Sus scrofa: one gene and its partner. The protein of the gene in region 1 purifies or fractionates together with the protein of each later gene. This does not show direct contact. Links are inferred from orthologs where the notes say so. Each region holds a gene or a part of one and is shown in the gene's direction. Other genes may lie near its edges.

Region 1 (3,500 bases):
CTGACTTGTATGTACCCTCACTTGGAATCTGGAGGCCTCCATACTTAATCTGTTTTATGAAGAGACCATTGTGACTTTAATGCTCTAGCATAACAATTTTGTGAGTGAGTTTGAATGCTGTACTGTGTTAAATATACAGTAATAACATTTTTCAATTTTTTTATTTGTTAGCAAGATGTTGATATCAGAGAGGAGATGCCAGAGCAGACAGCCAAGCGGATGTTGAGCCTTCTTGGCATCCTTAAATACAAACCTCCAGGAAGTGCCACGGACATGTAAGAATCTGTTCAAGTGTTACTTTCTTAGAGCTATGCTTTAATAACCAAAGCTTCAGAGTCAGTTTTTCTAGGTAATAACCTATTTTCCCTAAGTCATTGGCCTTAGAAAATCACTGACTTCAAAGTAATCTTGAACTTTTATTTCATCATGCAGAAGCCTTAACTGTATCACTTCTTTCTCTTAATCAAAAAAGTGAGGCAGGGAGTTCCCTGGTAGTTTAATGGGTTAAGGATACAGCATTGTCACTGCTGTGGCTTGATTCAATCCCTGGCCCTGAAACTTCCACATACCACAGGTACAACTTAAAAAAAAAAAAAAAAAAAAAAAAAAAAAAAAAAAAAAAGAGGCAAATCCACTTTTCCATTTTATCATTTATCTGCCTTCCTAAACAGAAACAATAACTTAAACATGCCCAGACAATGAAGTGAGGTATTAAGGCTGACTGTACCAGTTAATGGTTTTTAAAACAACCTTCTTGTATATTCCAGTAATTTATTAAGGGCCTAATTTTATGATTATTGTTAATGTGCAGATTTTAGAATAGCCTTGGTTTTATCTTTCTTAAATAGTTATGGAAAGCAGTCAGGAATGTGGAAACTGGATTTTGAGCAAATGTTATCTCTTTTCAAGATTTACTTACAAACCTGTGTGTGTGTATGTGTGTGTATTTTCTTTTAATAGGAGTACATTCCGTCAGGGTCTAGTGATTGGAAGTAAACCTGTAATTTACCCAGTGCTCCACTGGCTTCTTCAGAGGACTAATGAACTGAAGAAAAGAGCATATTTAGCTCGTTTTTTAATAAAACTTGAGGTACCAAGTGAGTTTCTTCAGGACGAAACTGTGGCTGATACCAATAAACAGGTATAAAATATATGTGGTATTTTTAAACTATCTGTAGTGGATTTCAGAGTACACATGTTCAGTATATGTTCATCTCTATTTGTTGTCTCTGTATTTCCAGTGACATCAAAAGGTAAAATATTTATCAGCTAATGTTTAGCTGCAATCATGTATGAAAATATTGATTTTTTGCACACAAGTACTATTAAAGTGGTAGACTATATGGAATGAAAAAAACTCCTGAAATTAGGATTTTAGAATAATTTATTACTTAAGAATTGTGGGTAGGAATTCCCTTGTGGCACAGTGATTTAAGGATCTGATATTGTTACTGCTGTGTCAAGATTTGATTGCTGGCCTGGGAATTTCTACATGCTAGGAGTGTGGCCAAAAAAAGAAGAATTGTGGGTAGGTATGATCCTAGGCTTGGAAACACAGAGCATTTTCTTGATCAGTTGGGTGACTACACAATTTGTCATCCAGATCAGAGAGCAAAGGGGTTATCATAATAATTACACCAGAGCAAAAGGTGTAAACTGACACTATCCCAGGCAAATTGGAACATGTAAACACCTTCAAAGATTGTTTGTGGGCAAAGATGCCAGGCTTATGATCTCAAAAGATATGCCAATCTAGTAGAAGGAGAGAAAGGACCAGGAATTTGCAATTTCAGTGTACCTTCACCACCAGAGTTTTGGGGTGATACTGAGTTCTGGCTTTAAGGTCCTAAAACTCTTGACTACTCAGGATTCTAGCTGACCTGGCTCCTGTAACTGAGATTTCAAAGCACATTGCTGATCAAAGACTATGGAAAGAATTTAGGCTTAAGACTTCAAAGGACTTTGATTTAAGAGAAAAGAAATTGTCTCTGTTTAGCATTTGTACTTTTATTCCATAGTAGGTTCATAGACTGATTTGTACCAGTTTGTTGTGAATAGTTTGTCAATCTATCTCTCCCAATAGATTATGAGATGTGTGAAGACAGGTATCCCGTCTTGTCTCTTTGTTTTCCTTCATGGTTTTATAGGGTTGCTTCTGTGTGATATGTACTCAAACTTTGGACTGAACTGGAACAATCAACCATATATTTTTTCATCCATGTATTTTGTTATTTTGCATAGCCATAGCTATCATTTGAAGTAGAGTCAGTACTGATCTCTTAAGACATTTCTGGGGTTGAAAAATTTATGCAAACAATTACGTCAAATGTTATAGTAGATGCCTTGAGAAAAGTACAGAAGAACGAGACCACCACAGCACTACCTTTGAAGGCTTTACATAATGTAAGAAATAGAGAGGTGTAAAAACATTTTCTCCTCCCTACCCTCCCCCCTCAGTAAATTTGATAGAAACTAATTCCTCTGGAGGAAGTTTATTAATAGTTTTTACCAGGCATGCCCAGCTAATTCTTTTTTTCTTTTTTGGCTGCATCCATGGCCTATGGAAATTCCCAGGCCAGGGATCAAATCTGAGCCAGAACTGCAACCTATGCCACAGTTGCAGCAACAGTAGATCCTTAATGCACTGTGCTGGGCCAGGGATCAAACCCTTGCCTGCACAGAGACAGGCTGGATCATTAACCCATTGTGCCACGTGGAAACACCCCAGCTAATTATTAATGGAAGGGATAATAGTAATAAAGACATGTTTGTTCTTGAAGCATATTTGAGATGTGTGTATAAAATGACTTAGACAGGAGTTCCCATTGTGGCATAGAGGAAACGAATCCGACTAAGAAACATGAGGTTGCAGGTTCGATCCCTGGCCTTGCTCAGTGGGTTAAGGATCTGGCATTGCCGTGATCTGTGGTGTAGGTTGCAGACACAGCTCAGATCTGGTGTGGCTGTGGCTATGGCATAGGCCAGCAGCTACAGCTCTGATTAGACTCCTAGCCTGGGAACCTCCATATGCCCCAGGTGCGGCCCTAAAAAGACAAAAATTAAAAATAAACATAAAAAACTAAATAATATAAAATAAAAAATAAAGTGACTTAGACACATTTAGCAGAGAGCCTAATAAAAAATGCACATTGTTTTTCTAAATGAAGAGTTTTAGAATGATTGATTTTTGTACTTGCAGAATATGACCAGTCGAGAAAGAATATTATTAATTTCCTGTCATTATCCACCAAAAATCTACTTAAAAATTTTTATATGAGTTGTGATTTTTTTCTTTTTTTTTTTTTTTTGTCTTTTGTCTTTTTGTTGTTGTTATTGTTGCTATCTCTTGGTTCTTGGGCCGCTCCCGCGGCATATGGAGGTTCCCAGGCTAGGGGTCGAATCGGAGCTGTAGCCACCGGCCTACGCCAGAGCCACAGCAACGCGGGATCCGAGCCGCGTCTGCAACCTACACCACAGCTCACGGCAATGCCAGATCCTTA
Region 2 (3,500 bases), on another chromosome or scaffold:
AGGCTATCAGAGAATTACAGCATATAGTTCTGGTTGAGCTTTGGTATTTTGGTGGCATTTTCAAAGTGAACACTAATACTTAAAAATTTTTTTTTAGGTCCCCAGAGGCAAATTTTAGACAAATCTTATTATCTTGGGCTTCTTCGGTATGTTAAATACTCTTTTTTTCTATGCATGATCATGAAGTTTTATCTACGGCTTATTAAGATAACTAGGTGTCTATTGATTTCTAAGAATTATTTTGTATTCTAACATGATTGCTGGTTAATTTGGCTGTAAATAGATAATATCACAAAATATGATAAATCAATTGGGCTGAAATTTAAAATTTTATGTATTTGAATGTATATGAACTATGTATTTAGATTCACTGTTTTTATGTAATAATAAGAATAATCTTTTATGCTTCTTTCACTAAGCTGAAATATATTAATCATACATCTAATAAGAATGGGAAAATCTATATACTTTATAATAAATAGTACAGTTTTACATAAATATACATTGTCAGTTGCTATAAATATGGTATAGTTTTCATTTATAAGCTTTGTTATACATCTCTAAGTATGCAGCTCTAAATTAAGATTTTTTTCTTTTTTTCTACCTACCTTTTTCTTTTCTCATATACCCTACTGTCTTATTTCCATTTTTCCAGTTTATTTTCTTGTTCACCCATTCTCTATATCTGCTTTCTTTCTTACTTGCATTCCATTTAATGCATCCTTCTATTGTGTCCTGCAAACTCTGTTTTCTTCTAAGTTCTTTTGTTGCTCAATTACTTGAATCCTTTTGATTCTCAAACTCCTAGAAGGCAATAAAAGAAGGTAGGCTTTCCCCATCTGTCCTCAAAGCTAACAGCAGTAACAAAGATAGTGAGACCATCAGTTGAATAACGTCTTTTAATATCCAGCCACTTTTTAATTAAAAGAAGGAAGGGAGATAGGGCTATTTCTCATTATTTCGTTGCCTCTCTTCTCCAGGATTTGTGCTTCTGTATTAAAAAATAGTTTTACCTACTTGTGTAATTGACTCTAGAACTGGTTCTCAACTGGCAGCGATTTTGGCCCCCAAAGAACATTTGGCAATTTTTAGACACATTTTTGGTTGTCATAACTGGGACTGGGGGCTATGTTGCTGGCATCCAGACCAGGGATCCTGTTAAACATCATGTGGTGCACAGTATACCCTACCACTTCCCACCAAAGTATCATTCAAAGACCTAACTAAATGTGCTACACTTGAGAAACCTTGTTCTAGAGGATAGCAAGAGCTGTGAGGGTGACAATTAGGCATCTACTTCTGTCTGTAGATTATACCAGATTGACCAGGTTTCCATTCTGGTACTATTTCATCTTTTTTTAGTGAGTAGAGAATCTGTATCAGTTTATCATTTGGGATATATCTTGTACCTCCTCCTTAATCAAATAAGCAACTTAAATTGTTTTTTTAGTGAAATTTTACAAAACCATTTTTATTATTGTACATTTATGAAAAGTTTGTTTTGTTTGACTAGAAAGACTTTTCTGGATTGGAAGTCTTGCTGACTTTTTAATTTCTTTTCGCTTAGAAGTAAAATAAGTGAACTTACAACAGAAATTAATAAACTTCAAAAAGAAATAGAAATGTACAATCAAGAGAATTCAGTATATTTGTCATATGAAAAGAGGTAAGTAATTTTGCAGTTAAAATATGCAAGGTATTTTCTTATTATTAGTAACATTTAATGTAATATGTTTCAGGAGTTTAATACTAAATTTTTAGTTATACGTAATATTAATAACATTCATCTGCTTTCATGTGTTTATGCATGTATATATTTTATGTTTGCAGAGCTGAGACTTTAGCTGTTGAAATCAAAGAGTTTCAAGGACAACTAGCAGACTACAACATGGTATTTAGTCTTTTCTGAGTGAATTTCTTTCAAATATTTTCATTGCTTTTTACTTTAAAAATGTGATTTTAAGTAGCAAATAATACATGAGTACATACTTATTGAGAAAGGTTGAAACCATATGCAGTGCCCCTTTGCTTTCTCCCTCACTTCCTCCCCGGAAATAATTTGTCTTAATAGATTGATATGTATTCTTCCATTTTTTAAAAAAAATACATTATATTAAAAATACAGAGACACACAGACTTTTTTTTCCCCATAACAGTGTTAAAGTAATAATTTTTAAAGTGGATAAAATTTATCAGGTACTAGCAATGTGATCGTTTTCCAAATATTTTTCTCCCTATGCAATGTTGTCCTCATGAAATTTTAGAAATGTAATTACTTACCTTCATCCATATGTTTCATTCATAATACAGTGTTTGTGGGAGTTCCCCTGTGGTGCAGCAGGTTAAGTAATGTGGTGTTGTCACTGTAGTGGCCCAGGTCGCTGCTGTGACGTGGGTTCATTCCCTGGCTCAGAAACTTCTATATGCCACAAGCACAGCTAAAAAAATAACAAACCAAAATACAGTGTTTGTCTTCTGTCAGAGTAGAGTATCTAACATAAATATTGTTCCACCAAGGATGATCCTAATATGGACTTCCAGAAGAAATAATCCCTTTGGCAGTGTTGATTACTGCCTCAATCGTTGAGGTAATCTTTGGCCCATGAAAATTTCTAGTGTCAGAATTTTCTTCCTTCTAATTCTGTAGGTACTGTAAGCAGCAGTGGTCTCTGGATTTACTGCAAAATTTTATCTCCCTTCTCCAATTAAAAAATAGTGTTACGCAGTAGTTTCCTGGTGGTTCAATAGCTTAAGTATCTAGCATGTGTCACTGCTATGGCTTGGGTCATTGCTCTGGTGCAGGTTTGATCCCTGGTCCTCAGAACTTCCACATGCCATGGCAACAGCCAAAAGAAAATAGTGTTACACAAAATAAGAAACATGCTACCATAATGATTAGGTAAATTATGATATACCTACTTGATATTGTTATATTGTACTCATGAACTCTGATTATAGTATATGTAATTCCCATACTGGTTGGACTACATAATCTGTAATACTCCATGCAGTTTTTTGTAAATGGTATTCTGTTCCAAATAAAAAATAGATTTTTTTATAAAATATGAAATGGTATTAGATGAAAGATTTAAAAATTTTTTTTTAATTTTTTCCCGCTGTACATCATGGAGATCAAGTTATTCCTACATGTATACATTTTTCCCCCACCCTTTGTTCTGTTGCAATATGAGTATCTAGACATAGTTCTCAATGCTACTCAGCAGGATCTCCTTGTAAATCTATTCTAAGTTGTGTCTGATAACCCCAAGCTCCCAATCCCTCCCACTCCCTCCCCCTCCCATCAGGCAGCCACAAGTCTCTTCTCCAAGTCCATGATTTTCTTTTCTGTGGAGATGTTCATTTGTGCTGGATATTAGATTCCAGTTATAAGTGATATCACATGGTATTTGTCTTTGTCTTTCTGGCTCATTTCACTCAGGATGAGATTCTCTAGTTCCATCCATGTTGCTGCAAATGGCATTATGTCATTCTTTTTTATG

What was found.
Region 2: the proteins of IFT81 (region 1) and IFT74 purify together in Homo sapiens (affinity purification with mass spectrometry; 3 studies listed by BioGRID and IntAct, counting the BioPlex papers as one, with this or other methods). This does not show direct contact. The link is inferred for Sus scrofa from reciprocal best matches to the Homo sapiens genes IFT81 and IFT74.

The regions. Positions count from the first base shown.
Region 1 is NC_010456.5:31,523,048-31,526,547, forward strand, and holds part of IFT81 (intraflagellar transport protein 81 homolog), read left to right. Parts: intron 1-171; coding exon 172-275; intron 276-960; coding exon 961-1,141; intron 1,142-3,500. UniProt on the Homo sapiens protein: Component of the intraflagellar transport (IFT) complex B: together with IFT74, forms a tubulin-binding module that specifically mediates transport of tubulin within the cilium. Binds tubulin via its CH (calponin-homology)-like region.
Region 2 is NC_010443.5:196,156,880-196,160,379, reverse strand, and holds part of IFT74 (intraflagellar transport protein 74 homolog), read left to right. Parts: intron 1-97; coding exon 98-146; intron 147-1,567; coding exon 1,568-1,666; intron 1,667-1,830; coding exon 1,831-1,891; intron 1,892-3,500. UniProt on the Homo sapiens protein: Component of the intraflagellar transport (IFT) complex B: together with IFT81, forms a tubulin-binding module that specifically mediates transport of tubulin within the cilium. Binds beta-tubulin via its basic region. Required for ciliogenesis.